Linked DNA regions of Daphnia pulex. The protein of the gene in region 2 binds, or shares a complex with, the protein of the main gene of each other region. Links are inferred from orthologs where the notes say so. Each region holds a gene or a part of one and is shown on either strand. Other genes may lie near its edges.

Region 1 (6,649 bases), on a different chromosome or scaffold from region 2:
CCTATTCAGTTTGGGTCTTTCAGAAAGCAACCAACAAGAAAAACTCTAGTTGAAATGGGTCTGTGATTTTATTATTTTTTAAATAAAAAATAATTTGCCAATAATTTTTTTCGAGTTTTAGATTTTCAATGGGTAGAAGGTGATCATTGCGAAGTATTAATACAAGTTATTAATCCTTCTTCTTATGAATTACGCATTACGAATATGCAATTGTTGACGGAGGATGTAGAGTTCGAGTCAGAATCCAGCTGTATCATTCTCCCTCCAGCTGTTGATCAAAAAACAACTCCCACAGTTATAACTTTGAGTGGTAATGTTGGTTTTTCTTCATCCTGCTATTGTCGTCTTTTCTTCGTGCTAAATAAACCTTTTTTTTTCAGGCATTCCACGCAGACCCGGACTTCTCAAAATTGTAGGCTATTCAATGACTGTGCTTGGTTTGAGAAACCACTGCAAATTGAAAAGTGCTATGCCATTAATGGGCAGTGCTTTTTTTTCTATTCATGTGGTCCCTGCTTTACCACGATTATCTGTTGAAATCGCATCGCCAAATCAGTAACTTTTTTACATACCGCTGCGCAATTATTTATTATTTCTAAACTAAATACTAATTGTTTCCATAAATTTTTGTAGTACTTTAATGACCATATCTGAATCTCAATCTGTAGCAACGACTAGTTCAGTACAGTTGTATGCTGGCCAGAGTACGGAGTGTAATCTAACTTTGGTTAATACGAGCAGCGTATCGGTCGAATCTTTTGATTTGGAATTAGTTCATGGTAACAAGTTATCTTCCAGTCAAGTCTTCAGTGTAAGGTAAGCTTTGTAAAATATAACTTTCTTTTTCTTTTTTTTTAAGTTGTTTGAATACCTGCCCAATTATTTTATTCTTCATTTACGGTCTTCAGTGTAGATAATTTAAAGGCTCAGCTTCCATGGCAATCTGGTACAGCCGTAAGTGTCACTGTTTACGTCCAAGGCGCGAGTGATTTTATTTTACCAGCTATCACTGATTATCTCTCAAATCTTCATTCGGGGGATGACTCTAACAGTCTCCCAAGCTTATCAGGTATCATTCGTATTCATTATAGATAGCAAAAATAGGGTTGACTATCGTATTTTATGTGATCTAGGTCCACCATCAATATTTTCGCGATTAAGTAATCATACCACAGTTACTTGTTCCCCAAGGAATAAAGCTAAGCGAGCTGAATCACTAGTATCAGTTCGTTCAGGAACATCTAGTGTCAGATCCGGAGGAAGTAGCAACCTTCGTATTATTGAATGTCAGGGCAACAACCATGTTGTTCCTCGCACCGTTGCAGTTCTACTTAAGCTTCAGTATTCTGGAGGACCTGGATATATTGCAGGATTTTGCCGATCAAATGGCGTCGGTTTAACGGTTGAAATTTTGCCATCAGTCATTATTACAAAGTGGGATGTGCTGCCTGCAGAAACTCCTTCGCACTGTTACCTAGTACTCGACATTCTGAACGCAACCCAACACGGTAACGCAATATTCTTTTCTTTGCTAGGTATTAATATAGTTTAAACATTTCAAGAATAATAGATTGACTGCCCGCGATGAAAGTAAAACACATGCTATTATCATTCTGTCCGCCGTAGTTGGACGATAAGTAAATTTATTTGATCTTCGCTTTTATTTCAACGATACACACGCTGGTTGAAATTTCACCGCCGTTTCGATACACCATATTTAAAATAGTTTTTCTGGATGGCGTTGCATCGTCTCGGATGCACGAGTTTATTTTTTATAGCATCTGTGTAATAAATTCTTGGAATGCATATGAGAATGAGAGTAGTAATGATTTTTTTAAAACATTATTTCTCTCATCAGCTTAACATTAAGTAGCATAGATTAAAATTTAACGTTACAAATTCTTATACTTGCAGAAATGGAGCTACAGTATAGCAGTTGCAAACACATTGCCATAGAAGCGCTTGATACGTGTCGTATTCCAGTACCTGTTGAACGATGTCCATTGGTCAAGCTAACCCATGTTTACACTGAAAAGGACCTGAGTCCAGAACAGCAACTTGAAAAGATTGCCAGGATTTGCAGCGAACATATTTCCTCCTTAGTTGAGCTAAAGTGGAGCTTATCTGGCGTCAATCAAACTTGTACTTCTATCAATGAAAACATTGAACAAAACTCGACTAAAGTAATAAAAGGCAAAGCTTCGTTGAGTGGCCTGCGCATAGCTCCATCTATGCTGGATCTTCTACATATTCCTCCAATTCAGCTGGAGGTGGAACTAAACAATGAAATATGGTCAGCTGAAAGAACCGAATTTATATGTGTAGTGGGAGATGTATTAAATGTAACAGTCGGTTTATTCAATGCATTAAGTAAATTTTTGGGTCCGCTGAATCTTCAAATATCGGTATATCAAGATCTGCAAAATGGCACGTTTCATCGGCGATTAGACACACGCCTGCTTACAATTGGATCAGATCATGCTGTGCTAGAAAAGGTATTTATTTTCCTTATATGCTCCTTTAGTATCAAAATGTCTTATCTGTTTCTGTTTTGCTTTCTTTAAAAAGATGGAGCCAAACAGTAACTACAAACATTGTTGTGGCATAATTTTTTTTACACCGGGGACTTACAAGCTGGATGTTGTCTGCTCACTCAAAATTTCGACTCAAAATAGAGAATCGAAATCTAATCTTCCGTATGATTCAACTAATGAACAACATGTTTGGAAATTTGTCCCCTCGATCGAAATTATCGTGTCCGAACCATTATGATTCGAAAAATGATACAGGCAAATTTTACATGTAGTTTTTCATGTCTCATTTCATTAGTTGGCTTGTCCGAAATACAAAAAAATTTAAACCATTTACTGCTTCTAGAATAATAAAGGCTCTTTCCTAGCCCATAATAAATATTTTTTTTAAATGCACCCTTATTACCTGTGCTAAATATTCTGTCACGCTGCGACTAATGCGCGTTTTGGTTACTTTTTATGATTTGTTTCGCATGATGTTAATAAATGGATATACGCATGCTTGATGTGAAATAAATTGCCAATACAAATTTTGTCTCGATATTTCGAGGAACAGAAGACAAAGAGGTACGTATTACGTTTTAATCTAATTCACTTGCAGCTATTTTATGCAAAAAAAAATACATTTCTTAAATGAAATGTGAAATTTCACAAAAAAGTGAAACTTTGACTGCGTCTGATTTGTTCAAAACGGCAGATTCTAACGTCTGGCGACCTGACGTTAGAATCAGTGTATTTTTTTTTAAATTACGATTGAAAAATTTTTTCTCTTAAACAGTTTGTGATTTTCCCCAAATCACGCCGACTTCGGGAGTGAATAACTCTCGAACCCGGCCGGTCTGAATCGTCAGACGCGCCATCTCGCGGTTCTCCCACCCTCCTAAACCAAAGTTGATAGTCAAACCTTCTCTTAAAAGGTTTGTGTCTACTTTGACACGGGCTCCCTGACTATTGTACTTCGTAGTCTGTGGTTCTAATAGTATTTTTCAGTTAAAACTAAAAATGTACAACTATAAACAGCAATTGGCTGCACTTGTGAATTCCGGTAAAAAAAATTTCATATGATTAACAATTATATATATGTATGTGTGCATGTGTGTGTAAATATATAGGTGTGTAATTTTCACGAATTTTCTCCTAGGTGGATTCCATAAGGATCAGGCGGAAAAGTTTCGCTTAATCTTAGAAAGTATATTGAACCAAGATGATAGTGAAGGACTCGTTGAGGGCTTAAAGGCTTTAATTGAAACAATTGTTCATGAGAATGTTTCACTTGTTATTAGTCGCCAGATTTTGTCTGAAATAAGTTGTCATGTTCCAAAGTTGACAGATGACATGGGAAAATCTGTGTGCAGTTTTGCTCTAGGGAAAATCCAGCCACGAGTGATATCTTTTGAAGAGCAAGTAGCATCCATTCGTCAGCATTTGGCAGATATCTTTGAAAGAGAGCAATGTTGGAAGGAAGCTGCTAATGTCTTAGTTGGAATACCCTTGGAAACTGGGCAAAAGTAAATTTTTCAATTAGTATTTACTTGTGTAAATGATAATTTCACTGTCAAGTCAAACATTGTAGACAGTACTCCTTGGACTACAAACTGGAGACTTACTTGAAAATAGCACGCCTCTACTTAGAAGATGATGACCCAGTGCAAGCTGAATCATTTATCAATCGGGCTTCTCTGCTACAGGTATAAGCAATTTAAAAATCAGTTTCTTTATGTTAACTGTATTATAACTTTTCTGTGGGTTTTAGAGAACACTATTAATTCAGCTGTATTAACTGTAACAAATAATATGCTTAAAGATTGTTATTTATTTAAATAGGCCGAGTCAAAAAATGAACAGCTACAGGTTTATTATAAAGTTTGCTATGCTCGAGTATTGGATTATCGTCGTAAATTCATTGAAGCAGCCCAGCGCTACAATGAGCTCTCTTACCGAAGCATAATCCATGACGATGAACGAATGACGGCTTTAAGAAATGCATTAATATGTACAATATTAGCATCGGCGGGACAACAGAGAAGCAGAATGCTTGCAACTTTGTTTAAGGATGAGCGTTGTCAACAGTTGCAAGCGTACTGCATTCTGGAGAAAATGTATCTCGATCGTATTATAAGGCGAAAAGAACTTGTTCAGCTCGATTCACTCCTGCAACCTCATCAGAAGGCTAAGACAGCGGATGGTAATTATATCATCTGATTCATTGAAAACTGTCACTTTATTATTATTTTAAGGTTCTTCAATTCTCGAGCGTGCTGTTACAGAACATAACCTTTTGGCTGCGAGTAAACTGTACAACAACATTACTTTCATGGAACTGGGAGCTTTGTTAGAAGTGGATCCTCTTCGAGCTGAGAAAATTGCATCACAAATGATAACTGAAGGTCGAATGAACGGTTCAATTGATCAGATAGATTCGATCGTGCACTTCGAAAGTAAGTTGATATTTATTGTCTACAGTACAGTAATGTAAATATGTAATGTTGATTAATTTTAGGTCGTGATGTCTTACCGGCCTGGGATCGTTCAATTCAGTCACTGTGTTATCAAGTGAATAATATTATAGAGAAGATTGCTAGTGTAGCACCTGACTGGATGGCCAAAGCAATGGATGAACAAATGGTACATTGATATTGTGTAGTATGAAAAAGAAATACAATTTTTACATGGGAATTATTTTAATATTCAAAGCGTTTGTTCTATGAACCATTGATGTGACATCAGTGTAAAAAAGCGTCCATAATCTACGTTCTAGTACGTTCAGATGATCAGTTTTGAAAACGACCTGTTTAGTTTTGAATTTTCTGTTCAAGGGTTTCAACTGACTTTGAACGTCTCGTCTTACAACATTCAAAGTATCAATTCTTTCATCAAGAAATTGTAGATTAGAAGGTTTCTGCGTCTTAGACGTTAGCGGAAACCCGAAGAGCAATTCTTCCAACTTAAAAACCAGCTGCTCTCTATGAATACACAAATAAATGTAAATAACCAAACGTAAGACAAAGATGACAAAATCCTTACAGGCATTTTTGTTGATTTATGACAATTCTACTCAGTTGCCCTAAATTTGACTTGGCTTCTTCTAAATGATTTTTCAAAATAACAGCCAAGTTAATTAGTTCTGAGTAGTCCCAAGGGTCTTGCCTGCATTCCTGTTTGTATTGGAGACCCAATATAGTTTTCATTGAGCATGATGCTTCATCATGTCTAGGAATTGTGTTTCTATTGTGAAGGCTTTTTTCTAGATCAACAAACTGTTTCAATGAAACCTAAATATGAATGAAACATTTAAAGCCTAAAATATAAGGACAAAAAAGGGATCCCAAAAAAGAACACACATGTGAAATATTACTTACAAGTCTTTCAACAAGTTGATGATCAGATTCAAGAAGATACTGAGAAATGTGTTTTAAGGTAGATAGCAATGTTTCTAATTGTCGGCCTTCAAACCTTACAGCAAGTAGTACTAACTGCTCTCTAGCCCATTGTTGAACCAGCAGTGAAAGAAACTCTTTCTGCTTGGCAATAAAAAAATCTTGCCTCAATAGTTTTAAGCTACAGTCTCCGACGATTATAGAAGAACAGCGTAACTGTGTGGCTTTAGAAATTGCATTTTTAACACAGTTCTTCAATGATGCTAATTCTTTTGAGTAAACCAGACTTTTGAAGTCCAAAGAATTCTGGTATTCTCTAAAAAGTTTAAGATTGATATAGTTGTGATAAATAAGCCCATTGTTAAAATGTTCAGTTTTTTTTACAGTTAAAAAAAATACCTATCAACATGGTTTAAAGTAAATTTTCCATCAACTAGTGTAGTAAGAATTTGGTAACTAATACCTATAGCTGTGGTTAGTGATGAAACCTCTGTTTCATTTACAGTCCTGTCTTCCTCAGCCAATGGCAACCTAAAGTTGAGAGTATATATAAGAACTGTTGTATGGAGTTTTGAAAATTGCATTATCTTACTGTAGCTGCAAGCAATTTAATTCCCAGTTTTGTGTGTATCTTGCCTTCTCATCAAGCCCTAAGAGAACTCTAAAATTGCTCTGTCCAATTTGTAAGAAAGCACACATTTCCAATCCAGAATTTTGTCCCATATGCCCCATTTTCTGTAA
Region 2 (6,782 bases):
TCAAATGTTTCAAAAGATGAGAAAAAAGTGGTAATGGAAAATTCATAATAGTACTGTACCAAATTTATCATATTTAATCATTTCTCTTAACAATAGGAACAAATGTATAATGACTTGATGAAGGAACTTGCAAAAGAAGGCAAATTCAAAATGTTTAAAACTAGCAGCAGAGAAACTAAATTCAGCATAGAACCAATAGAGAATATTGAAACTGATGAGCAAAAGAACATAACATAACATGGCTAACTATTTCCTTTGATCCTAGTAGTTACAATACAAGTGGAAAGAAATTGTCACATTGACACATTCTCTTAAGTTTATCATCATCATCCTACAGTGTGATAAAATTCTTATTTCATGGTAATGGTAATCAAAGTCAACCTCTCTTAAGCTAATGGTTATTTTAAACATAGTTTAATTTCATTTAACTTCTAACATTAATCACTATATCAGTAATAGTTATTAATTCCCGAAACGTAAACGTTCATTAAATAACGTTCAATTAATTCGATTGAAAATTCCCGAGACCTTCGTAAAATTTCAAGTTAGGAAGTCCTCGCTAGATGCCGCACAGATCATTCTACTCCAAATGGTCGACCACGACCATGATCAAAAACTACTTCATAATAACAATCTACCCATAATTGTATACAGTATACATTGTAGGTACTGATGAAAATGAAAAATTCGTCAAGGAGTCGAGCTGCTTTTCTTCGATTTCCAATCGTTTTTGGTAAATTTAATTACAAAGCCATTGAATAGTAATTGGTTAAAAATTGTTTTCTTCATAAGGATTCATTTTGGGAACATTCTACATGGGGTTTCAATATCGGTGAGACATTGAAAGACTTGCTCAGTACAGAACTGATAAATCTCAATTTCATTCCAGCAAAGGAGATATTTGAATATTGTTTTTCATTTTAGGAAGTTGTTCATGAAAGACATAGAAGAAAAGCAAAAGGAAATGAATAAAGAAGATCCTAACAGTAGAGGATTGATCACAAGCTCAATTGGACAGATCAATCGTGAAAGAAGCAATAAGAATGATAAATGACAAGATTCATTTGTGATTCTTCATGGCAAATTTTAGAATGGACAAAATTTAATACACAAAAAAATGCAATTTCTGAAAATTATTCAATCCTACTTAAGTATACTAAAATAACTAGTTTATGTTGTGAGTGACTCTTTCTTATTTGGGGATGAATACGTGATTTCCTCGCTCTGCATGAATTCTTCCTGTATGTTTAAATAAATATGTCATTCATGAATGTAAGTAAATTTTAAAACTAAATATTAGACATATTGTGTAATGCTATACAGGCTGAAAGCCAGTTGCTTCCAGAACTTCCACTTGCTCATATACATACCTTGTTGTATATTACTTTTACTATAAGTGAACAACTCGGACATGTGGCTTCCTCTTCCCCATTTTCTAGCTGTTCCTGTTGAAATAAAAGTAAACCTTTTAATAAGCTTGGAATCTGAGTAAGGAATGGGGACGTCACATTACTTTGGTGATTTCAAACCGATCTCCACAAGGGCAAGGATAGAAGTAAATTTCACTGTCCGAATCATATTCAAAATCTTCGATTTCAACTTCATCGTGATAGACAGACATTTTCACCAAAAATTCTGAGTAATAAATAAAAGATTTTTCTCAACTACTGAAACAAAAATGTGTGGATCTTCAAAAGACAACACGTGAGAAAAAGAGACATCTGCCGGCCAAAAATCAGACTACCTGAATTAACTCACGTTTACACGTTGCATATAATAAGCATAATAAAAAAAGAATTTTTTTTTTATCTCCTACCCTACTTTCAAACAACAGTATGTTGGAAACAAAACAGAAATAATGATCAAAGTCTGATTTTGTCAGATAATGTGCCGGCGTCATCGTTTATTTCCACAAAACCTTAATAGAGATGGATAGCGGGATAATTTGAAGTCTTTTGTTTCTTCTCTAATCGGTTCAGGATTGCTGAGCGAGAAGTTCGGCTTGCTCGTTAACGATGGTTAGCATGGAATCTTTGACCTGTCTGAGGTGGCCTCGCCAAGTAGTCAGCAACTCACGCAACTGCTGCCAGTGCTGCTTGCCGAATGTCCGATGCATGGTTGATGAAACAAGCACTTTCTTGTTCAACTGATCCATTCGTGCGCGCACCAATTTCGTCTTAAGGACTTGAAGGACAAATTCCTCTACTTGATCTTCGGTTAGTTGTAATTGCTTCTCGAGCGTTTCGAAAGGGAGCTCTACGGAATTTTCAGCCAACTGCATGAAAGTCAAAATTCGCATTTTTCGAAGGTTCTGCTCATGTTTCAGACCTAAAAATCATTGTTACTTAAAATTCTTAAAAAAATACTTAAAAATTTCCAGTAAATACCTAGTCCTTCAACAAAATCTTTCTTTTCCTCATAAAACTTCAAATAAGCTGACAGCTTTTCCGTCACGAATACGGTCAACAGATCGTGCAAAAGGGCACCTTCCAAAACTGTACACAAAAATTAATTAATAACTGATTTAACTTCAAAGTAATTTTTATAAACCTTTCACAGGTTGCAAAGTCAATAAATGATCGAGAAGGAAAGTGTTGGGATCAGCCAATGAAGCAACAATGCAGCGTTGAGCTTCCTCACGAGCCTGTGAAGCATTTTCGGTCGTGTAAGTGCTCAACAACTCCACCATCACTTTGGAGGCCAGTTCACTGAATAATAACACTGGTTTGATTTATTGTTACAATTATTTGTTTAACTTCAATACTTTACCTTTCTCTGGAGTTGAGGAGAGCTTCATGTAAACTTCGGAGGAGTTTTTGCATCTGCTCGTTGTTAGGTTTGCATGGCCCTAGTTGAGTACGCATTTTATCTAGATCCGTGAACACTGTCTTCATCTGTTCCACTTGTCCAGCAACTTGGACTAGCGTGTGATAGACCGTGTAACGCGTTGTACTCACAGGATCAAGCCCATGAAATAGTACAGACAGACTAAAGAATCAAAATTATAGTTAGACAATTCATTATGTAAACTTCAAATTTCAAATGCTCACACTCTCAGACAAACAAGTCCCAACTTGTTTGAGGGGGGTTTTGCAAGCTTTTGGCAAAACGTAGTAATTATTGGTTCAGCTTTTTCATTGGGGAGAAGAACGAGCATAGATACAATGCTATTCAAGACTCCCTCAGATTCCACTTCATTGCCCTCCTTCAAAGAAGAAAATAGTGTAAACACACACTACTAATTGAAATAAAATTGTCACTTACTTTGAAACAGAGATCTGCAACAGCAACAATGTTGCTAAGATCTGAGTTTTGATCATCATCCACATTTGATGCTCCAAGAGCCTTGAAATAGCTACACAATTCAGTAGCCTAAAAAGACAGATATGAATACAATGACCAATTCAAAGCCTTGATGTCTTAAATTTTGTCTCAGTACTATATAACAGTTATTTGCTTTCTCCAGGTGGTAAAACAGGTATAAAAATTAGAAATACTAGTAGGGAAAATTGTCTATAACACAGAAAGGTGTACGCTACTGGCAGACTCCACACTTCATCGCCACAACAGTTTAGCATCTACCGGACTAAATTTATGGGGAAACTAACCTGTTCTTCGACCGTTAAATCGATAAATGCTGGTAAACTCATCCTGATAAATTGTTCAAAACAAACTGGAAAAAAAGATTCCTTTATTAGAAGTTGCTTGTCAAAAAAATCCGGATATAGGCCACGCTCACGATCCCGGTACAGAAGTTCGTCTGTAATGGCGACATTGCCACCGTGTTCCCCTACAGATAAATCAACGATTTTTTTTTTTTTTTAATTCTTTGTTTCAACACTTTCACGCTTTCCAAAATTTTCTAAAACCAGTTCTTGATTTTTTAAAATTATTATTAAAAAAATTACTACCTTTTAAAATTGCAGCATAAAAGATCACCACATTTGTTATCGCTGTTATCGGCTCACTCGCAATTTCTATCTAACTTGACGTGTTGCGGTGTTGGAAGAAACAAACCGAATACACCGTCAAAGGTACGCACCGGTTTCGGATTCATTTGATCGTTATCATTCGAACCAGCATTTATTTTTCAAATTTATTAATTGTTAACTTCCTTATAACGTTAAAGTTAACTGGTGACATTCACAAATCTGTTAACGTGCAAATCGCAAAAATATATAATAGTTGGAGTGGTTGGCAATTTAGGTAGAAGATAGAAGTAAGTAAGACATTTTAACTATTGCATCAGACATTTCAAAATATTAATGACTAGATTTTACTTACAGAGTGAGAAGTTTCGAAGGGATAAATAATAATTTTTGGAACACATTGAGAAATTGGTTGTACCTTGTTCACCTATTATGTCTGAAGCCCCCTTAAACAACAGCAGCATGGAGCTGAAGATTTACAATAGTCTGACTCGTAAGAAGGAGGTGTTTACTCCTCAGAATGGGAAAAATATCACCTGGTATTCTTGCGGACCAACAGTCTATGATGCATCCCACATGGGACATGCCCGTTCATACATGTCTTTTGATATCCTGAGAAGGGTCTTAAGAGACTACTTTGGATATGACATTACTTATGTAATGAATATCACTGATATTGACGACAAAATTATTAAAAGAGCAAGGCAAAATTATTTATATGAAAAGTATGCAACTGAGATGAGTGAACTTGAAACTCTTCAAACAGATGTCAAGGAATCTGTTGATCGTCTTTCTAAGCAAATGGCAGTAACCACCGATCCCGACAAGAAAGTTATGCAGGAGAAGATGTTGGCCAAAGTCACTGCCGCGATTGAAAAATTCACCGAAACAATCAAGCTTGGTCAAGGATTATCCGAAGCAAAGAGCTTTTTGTTGGCTGAAGCCAAAGACGTCTTGAGCGATTGGCTCGACTCGAAGCACGGCATGGATGTTTCAGATAACGCAATTTTCGCGTCTCTTCCGCGACATTGGGAAGAAGAGTTTTACAAAGATATGGCCGCTCTCAATGTTCTACCAGCCGATGTTATTACGCGTGTTAGCGAATATGTCCCGGAGATCGTGGATTACATCTCACGAATCATTGAACGTGGACTTGCATATTCAGGTGAGTTTTTATCTCTTTTTTTCTATTATCTCGTCACGGTTAATGACTCTTTTGTCATTGTATAGCAAATGGCTCTGTATACTTCAATGTCTCAAAGTTCGATTCGCAAAAGAATCACAAGTATGCGAAATTGGTACCTGAAGCTTACGGTGACTCAAAGGCATTGCAAGAAGGAGAAGGTGATCTAAGTGTCTCTGAAGATCGGTTAAGTGAGAAAAAATCACCTAACGATTTTGCGCTATGGAAAACTTCAAAGAGTGGTGAACCTTCCTGGGATTCTCCTTGGGGGAAAGGTAAAATTCAACTAAAAAATGTCGAACCAACGTAATGAATTAATAATTAAATTATTTTATTTTATTTTATTCTATTCAGGACGTCCTGGGTGGCATATTGAATGCAGTGTGATGGCAAGTGCAATTCTAGGGTCATCAATGGATATTCACACAGGAGGCGTCGACCTAAAGTTCCCTCATCACGACAATGAACTAGCCCAATCTGAAGCCTACTACGATAATGATGAATGGGTTCGCTATTTCCTTCATACTGGTCATCTGACCATCCAGGTACTATACAAACTTCCGTAAACTTTTTCCGTTCTTCCACCCAATAGAAAACTATAATGGACATTATTCTACAGGGTTGTAAAATGTCTAAATCCCTCAAGAATTTCATCACCATACAAGATGCGTTGAGTAGAAATAGCAGCCGCGAATTGCGCATCTTTTTCTTGCTTCACCCATGGAAAGAAACACTCGACTATAGTGACAGTGCAATGGATGAAGCATCGAGTTACGAAAAAATGCTAAGGGAATTCTTCTTAAATGCCAAGGATCTTTTGAGGAATGGCCCGTCATCGAATACTGCCGCAGAATATTTTCAAAAATGGAGCACAGCTGAGCAGGAAGTCAACACCCGATTCGTCGAAACGAAAAATCGAGTACGGGAAGCTCTCTGCGATAACATAGACACTAAAACGTCTCTGGAAGCGATTAAAAGCATGATATCGGCTTGCAATAAATACCTGGCACAGCTGAAGCAATCTGCCAACCGGGTTCTAATCAAGGTCATTGCCGAATATGTAACGCGGTTGTTCCAGATCTTTGGCGTGATTGAAGGCAAGCAAACCCTTGGATTCCCCTCTGAATCGTCTAGTGGAGGTACCGATAATGTTGAAGAAATCGTAATGCCTGTCCTTGAAGCGCTCGCAGACTTCCGAGAAGAAGTGAGAAAAGAGGCTCGTCAATTACGTGCAACACGCGTTCTCGAACTTTGCGATCAAATTCGAGATGACGTTTTGCCTAACCTGGGCGTAAGACTCGAAGATCGGGAAAATCAGCCTCCTGCTTTGAAGCTTGTCCCACGTGAGGAACTGCTTAAGGAGAAAGAAGACAAAAGATTGGCTGAGGAAGCCAAAAAAGCTGAGAAAGAACGTAAAAAGGCTGAATTAGCAGCCAAAGAAGCCGAAAAGGAAGCAAAACGACGCATGCCTCCCACTGAACTATTCAGAAGTAAAGATAGATTTAATTGTTTGTGCCATCAATCATTATAACTTAAATGATTAACGTGTTTCTTTGATCTAGGTGAAACGGATAAATATTCTGCTTTCGACGAGAAAGGGATGCCAACCTTAGACAAGGATGGCAAAGAAGTCAGCAAAGGCCAGCTTAAGAAGTTGGAGAAACTATGGC
Region 3 (6,032 bases), on a different chromosome or scaffold from region 2:
AGTGGGTGTTTAAGCGGCGGTGCTATTCCGCATCATTCGAATTCAGTGTACTGAGTGTTGTCTAAAAATCTCCGGTTAATTTATCAAATAATGGGCCAAGACGGTGAGGTATCTAACGATCAAGGGGGTGAAGTCAACCCCGCCGCTGCTGGTGGAGTCACTTTTGTTTCTGTAGAATTCGAAGTCTACGGTCATGTTCAAGGTATTTATTTATACAGCTACAACACACGTAATTTTTTAAAGCTGATCACTCCCAGTGTAAATGGCTCGTACGTAAATATTCAGCACCTGCCACCCCGCCTGCGCTATTCTCGTCCCCCACGTCCACGCCTAAGATGGTGTTGATTGACTATGATCACAAGCCTTCACACCCTGTTTCTTTTATTTCTTACATTGTGTACCAACCGTGACGTCTGTAGGATGCTACTTCACCAAGTTCTGCAAAGATACGGCCGATCAGCTGGGCCTATCCGGATGGGTGAAAAATTCCAAAAAGGGAACCATCGTCGGTAAAGTTCAAGGAGAGAAAATTCGAATTGACGAAATGTAAGTTTTTGATTAACAAATAAGCCGACATTCCGTGTGGCGTATTGTTTTAAATAGCAATTTACAGATTTAGAACGTAGGGTGCAGAAGCAGGAGCAGCTCCGAACGATTTAAACGACGAAATGACGATTGGCATCGAGCCCATTCGAGGTTCTAGATAAGGCACACGAGTCATGGTTTGGGCAGGACACGTCGTTAAATACCTTAACTATGCTGGGCTCGTCCTCTGTAGAGCGAGGAGAAACAAGCTACTTTTAGAATCTTCCTGACCCGTCATGCGCTCGGTGCCAAAGCGGATTCGTCTGTGTGTTTAACGAGTTCTACTACTAGAAATAATTAAAATTGTTGTTCCAAACCTTTTTCCTCCACAGGGCACAATGGCTGACGAGGACAGGTAGCCCCGGATGCAAGATCGACCACACCGAGCTTCGCAATTGGGAATACCTTGCACGGCCCGAGTTCCGCGGATTCAGCATCCGTTTTTGAAGCGAATGAAAATGGTTTTTCTTTGTTTTTTCAATGTCCCGCTAATCATTTAAAACATCCACCAATTCACTTGTCAATGTAGAGGCACATGCCCACACCATATCGGCCAAAGCAGAATCGAATTTCAGAACTTTTAATTAGATGCTGCTTGAGAGGAAAACAGATTCCGGGTGTAAATACGGCGATGGGATTCACTGCTTGGGTGGTTTAACGATCATCAAATTCAAACATGACAATTGTGTATATGAAGCTGTTACAAAACAGAAATACACTGCCCTTGGAATTGTTTGTTTGTTGGTTTTTCTTTCTTCCTGTTTGCAGATCGGTCAAAGACAGTTTCACTTTTAAATGCAGTGTGACATGATTCCAGCCACGTTTTCAAATTCGATCTTCTCAGTGATGTTTTTGGTCTTGACCAAATCTTCTTGCGACGTGATGAACACACGGCCGTTGCCCAGGTCCTTCCAGCTGCACTTCCCGACCCATTGTTTCAAAACTTGATCTGAAAAGAGAGGTTTTTAAAATTAAAATGTCGAAAACCATGTTAAGAGGGAATACATGGATAATATTGCCATTACCGTTGACATTGCCAAGAAGTTCTTTTAATACCGGAACTTCAATAGTTTGATAGGTAATGTTGACAACATGAGCAACAAACTTCCTAATAGCATCTTCAAATCCTTGAACAGTAATAATTAGGTCACCACATTTGGCCAATTCCTCCCAAAACTGCTTGAATTTGCACGTTTCCAGCAAATCAGCTAGGACCATTACTCTGCTCACTTGAGGTTCTTCCAACTGAAAAGTAAAAAAATTAATTCCTATTAAATATATTAGATTAAACAATCATATTACATACCCTATCTTGAGTCAAAAGGCATTTGCACAGCAAGAAGTCTGTGTGAGGTAAATTGGTCATTGCCTTCAGTAGGATCAGATTAACAATGTTACTGCGGTAGAAATTTGGGCCAAATTGGTACAATCGCAACACACTTAGGTTGGCCTCTAGGTCATACATATTTTCTTGTGCTTGCAGTTCAACATAGCGTTCTAGCTTCTGAAGATTGTCGGGATTGTACCTAGAAATAAGAGAACAAACCGCCATTGTTCATTACAGTGTTCCTCAACTATGCAGATGGGGTTAACTTTTTCAGATTATTTTCTCTTACCTTTCAATTCCTTGTAGCATAGAAGCGATTTCTGTTTTCATCTTTTCGGCCATTATAATGAACTGTTATTGAAATTGTTAACAATCAGTAACTAGACTTTGACGGATGACGGAAATGTGGCTTTAGCAGACGCTTTCGGCCTAAGAGGCTCTGTTGCCATTTAAAGCATTATCAGCTAAGTGAAGGAGTGGAAACTTTCCATTTTCACTCTGCGATAAAAGTCGAGAATGAAACAAATAGAACGATTTTTTTTTGAGCTATAATTTAGGGCGAAAACCCTCATAAACCCCTCAGTCGGAAAATAACTCCGCTCCTTGGTAGGTGGAGCGGGTGGAGCTGTGGAGCTTCTTTCAACCAATGAAAGTGATTCGAATTTCCGCCAATTTTAAAAGTTGAAGATGTAGCTGACATTTAAATCTTTGAAAAATCTTTGACAGAAGATATTTTCACGGTACACTTAGCACTTAGCAGATTAGGCGATGGTCAAAATTCAAATGATTAAAAAAGACGACAAAAAATAAAAACTAATAACTGTTACTTGCTGCCATCAGTAACTAATTTTAATAATGGTTGCTCAAACATGCTCTATGAACCCTATTTCCCCGAGGAATTCCGAGCAAACATCAAAATGCCACCTTTATAAGATACCGAGAGAGAACATATGAGATTTCCTCGTGTTGTTACTCAAGAATAATTAAAAAAAAACAGTACCGGTAAATTACCGATATTAGGCTAATTACCGGCGGTAATTGAGTGGTTTTATCATAAAAAATGTATTACATTGTACCTTTTTATTTTTTTAACTAATAATTAGTAAGGGTGACGTATTTCTAATTCAAGTTCCCAATTGTTCTTGGTCAAAGTTTCTTCCCATTCGATGGAATCTTCAAACGTTATCTTATCGCAACGTTCCAAAATCAGTTTCTTTAGAGGGATATTCTGTTGTAAAAAAAGGTTCACACCGTATTTAGTTACTTCGTTACAGTGAGTTAACCACAATCTCTCAAGATGACGAAAGGAATTGACATGCGTTGCTTTTCGTATGATTTTGTCAGTTAGGTTATTCAAAAGTTTTATGGAAATGAATGATAGTAACGGAGAAGACAATAAGATTAACACAATTTCTGCGGGGACAAAGGAATGAAGCGAATCATCAGAACATAACATCAATTCTTCCAGATGTTTTAAGATAGGAATTTCCCTTTTATTTCCCGATTTTTGTTCTTCTTCTTTAGGCCAACGATCAAATTTGCTGCGCATATGAAGGCAAAGGTATTGAAGCTTGTGGCAAAATTGCATTATGGTTAAAATGTCTAAGTCAAGGAAGAAAACGTCAAGTTCTAATTTTGTCAAGGAATTCCCAAATTTTTTGAGAAGGGGAAGAACTCCTCCTTCAAAAGTGATACCTCCAGAATATCTAAAAGTAACTTCATTAAAGTTTAAAGGCTTTCTTTGATCGATTTCAAGGATGTAGAGGCTTTTAAGGGAAAGTAAACTAACGAGATCCGCGTCTTTTACGATTCCATCACACATCAATGTCATGTCCACTTTTGTAATGTAAGGACAGAGGAGCACCGATTTTTCAAGACTACCAGCTTTGTATACTGTATTTTTCAAAATATATAGGGCAAGCAACGCGTATTTAGGAATAGGTAGCCCTTGATCTGCAGCATTTTGAGCTATTTCAGCCAAACCGTCAATGGTTGCCTCATTCCAAAGTATTTTCAAGAAAGGCAGATTATTAAAAGCAGTTTTAATGCCTTGATTGGTTATTGCTTTGCAACCGTAGAAATTAAGTAAGCGAATGGATCTGCAATTTCCAATCACGCACAGTCCTCTAATTCCAGCGTCTGTGATGGGATGGTATCTTGCGCTTAGTATCCTGAATATTATTTAATTTTAGAATAAATCAATTTCATAAATTATCCACGATGCTGTAATAAGTTTTTTTTTTACCTTAATTCTGTACAATGTTGCCCAAGAAGATGCAAAAATGCATCCTGTGCTGAAGGAAACCGAGATAATTTGGACAAGCTGACATCAGTAGATACATCCAAAACTTGTAGTTTTGAAAACTTGCATATCAGATTAATATGAAATGGAAATGCAGAATCATAATTAAACATCAACCGCATCCGCAATATTTTCAGCTGCTATATAAGTCAGAAAAGTAGGTGTCTTTAAGAACAATCTTATTTTTTCGTAAAGAGAACGCATGTTTAAATCTTAATGTAATTTAGATACAAACTCTACTTACTTTGCTTCTTACTGAAGCCAGTCGAAGAATGTAATGTGTATCTTTTTTCCTTTGATCAAGTTTTCCACCAGCCATAAATGGTATTTCTAATTCAGTAAGGTGTGGTGTTATTAAAAGGGGAAGGTATTCAATAGCTCTTGGCCGGTATTGGTCTCCGACGAGAAATACGAAAATACTTTTACAAGTAAAGTTGAGAAAACCGTCCACAACATTTGAAGCTGGTGAAAAAAAAAAGAATAAAGACAAAAATAATAGTATCATGGCCTTTCATGGGTTGGCTTTGAGATTGAGCAGTAAAATGTAAAACCTATAAATATTAGTCCGTCGTTATACTTACGTAACTGATCAAATGGATTATTTGTGTTGTTTTCTAAATCCAGTTCGTTATCCATAAGGGCAACAATATCCGATTCACTTAGAAACAATTTCATATTGTGCAAAATTACATATTCACACAATCTTGATAGCGATTTGACACTTTTCAGTTGCATTTAGCCTGCCGAATAGCTTCTAGTTCCCGCCGTGTCGTTTAGAAGAGTATTCATTTAACCGCATTTAACACTTTGGAAGATTGATCGTATTAACCTTGATGCATGGTTGATAAAAATCCAAGGCTCTGATTGGACCTATCAAAAATAAATATCTGTTCTCGGATTTGTTTTGCCCAAAACAACATCTAGCACATCACATGATAATATGCTGACGTTTTTTATGAAGGAATACAAGGTCAGTTAAATAGAAAGAGTAAATCGATTACGCTGACGATATGTACGCCTGAGTATGCCACCATAGCCTTGAAGAAAAAGTAGAACCAAGGTCCTAATAAGCCTTATATCTTAGAACTATACGGTATATTTGATCATGTTTACTGTCCTTTAAAAAGTACTAGGAAAGCAAATATCGTTGAGGTTGGGCAATATCGATCCATTTTCAACCTATATAATCGGCATTCGAGCAAAAAAGTTTCACTTCTATAAGGACCCACTGCATTTGTTGGGCTCTTGAACAAAGGATTTGCCGTTATATTTTGCCGATATTTTGCAAAAAGTAACGGTTTAAAAACGTGTATTTGCAAACTTCCGGTAATGTTGATGATTTTCGTTCACTTTTTTCTTACAATGAAGCACTGATTATTATAAAGTCTAAGTTAACATATTAAAAAAATATGATGAACCATTGGGCGATTATAAATAGCAAGGAACGGGCGAAACACACGAGCGACTAGATTACTAAACGCTAGAAATGTATATATTTGTTTACGATTATTTTCCCACACCAAATTTGTTTCCTTCACTAGCATGTGCATCAATCCGAATCCGATGCGATTGCGTCAAAGTAATCGTTCAACTTCCGTGGAATCGGTTTGTTGGGTGTGACATTGGACATATTATTAGAAGGCGGATCATTTTTTCAGAACACTGTCATTGGGAACCACCTCTCCATACCCCTGAATATACTCCCTGTTTTCATGCGCTCTTTTCCCCACCAAATGAAAATGATGTAAGAATGACTGACTTCACATCTGCTAAATAGCTTTATAGATTATAGATGAACGCGATGAACCACCTTATTTT

The links.
Region 1: eukaryotic translation initiation factor 3 subunit M-like (region 2) and COP9 signalosome complex subunit 4-like share a complex: the UniProt entries of both Caenorhabditis elegans proteins name them as parts of the CSN complex. The link is inferred for Daphnia pulex from reciprocal best matches to the Caenorhabditis elegans genes cif-1 and csn-4.
Region 3: eukaryotic translation initiation factor 3 subunit M-like (region 2) and eukaryotic translation initiation factor 3 subunit K-like share a complex: the UniProt entries of both Caenorhabditis elegans proteins name them as parts of the eukaryotic translation initiation factor 3 (eIF-3) complex. The link is inferred for Daphnia pulex from reciprocal best matches to the Caenorhabditis elegans genes cif-1 and eif-3.K.

What each region holds. Positions count from the first base shown.
Region 1 is NC_060024.1:7,063,882-7,070,530, forward strand, and holds COP9 signalosome complex subunit 4-like, read left to right. Parts: upstream 1-3,385; 5' UTR 3,386-3,533; coding exon 3,534-3,576; intron 3,577-3,672; coding exon 3,673-4,039; intron 4,040-4,104; coding exon 4,105-4,219; intron 4,220-4,355; coding exon 4,356-4,716; intron 4,717-4,768; coding exon 4,769-4,969; intron 4,970-5,031; coding exon 5,032-5,165; 3' UTR 5,166-5,196; downstream 5,197-6,649. Other genes in the region: trafficking protein particle complex subunit 9-like, read left to right, coding at 1-58, 122-310, 381-555, 634-816, 909-1,069, 1,134-1,508, 1,915-2,495, 2,569-2,772; HAUS augmin-like complex subunit 3, read right to left, coding at 5,197-5,494, 5,556-5,803, 5,891-6,224, 6,308-6,439, 6,501-6,643. UniProt on the Caenorhabditis elegans protein: Component of the COP9 signalosome complex (CSN), a complex involved in various cellular and developmental processes.
Region 2 is NC_060019.1:9,158,224-9,165,005, forward strand, and holds eukaryotic translation initiation factor 3 subunit M-like, read right to left. Parts: upstream 3,790-6,782; 5' UTR 3,651-3,789; coding exon 3,609-3,650; intron 3,373-3,608; coding exon 3,265-3,372; intron 3,206-3,264; coding exon 3,051-3,205; intron 2,989-3,050; coding exon 2,770-2,988; intron 2,709-2,769; coding exon 2,551-2,708; intron 2,496-2,550; coding exon 2,388-2,495; intron 2,329-2,387; coding exon 1,976-2,328; 3' UTR 1,874-1,975; downstream 1-1,873. Other genes in the region: DPH3 homolog, read right to left, coding at 1,171-1,239, 1,371-1,445, 1,514-1,621; cysteine--tRNA ligase, cytoplasmic-like, read left to right, coding at 4,362-5,094, 5,160-5,387, 5,467-5,657, 5,732-6,602, 6,675-6,782. UniProt on the Caenorhabditis elegans protein: Component of the eukaryotic translation initiation factor 3 (eIF-3) complex, which is involved in protein synthesis of a specialized repertoire of mRNAs and, together with other initiation factors, stimulates binding of mRNA and methionyl-tRNAi to the 40S ribosome.
Region 3 is NC_060028.1:2,215,826-2,221,857, forward strand, and holds eukaryotic translation initiation factor 3 subunit K-like, read right to left. Parts: upstream 2,364-6,032; 5' UTR 2,255-2,363; coding exon 2,202-2,254; intron 2,112-2,201; coding exon 1,892-2,111; intron 1,831-1,891; coding exon 1,611-1,830; intron 1,535-1,610; coding exon 1,377-1,534; 3' UTR 1,255-1,376; downstream 1-1,254. Other genes in the region: acylphosphatase-2-like, read left to right, coding at 91-202, 420-546, 918-1,032; uncharacterized protein LOC124209413, read right to left, coding at 3,012-4,083, 4,158-4,354, 4,459-4,676, 4,796-4,949. UniProt on the Caenorhabditis elegans protein: Component of the eukaryotic translation initiation factor 3 (eIF-3) complex, which is involved in protein synthesis of a specialized repertoire of mRNAs and, together with other initiation factors, stimulates binding of mRNA and methionyl-tRNAi to the 40S ribosome.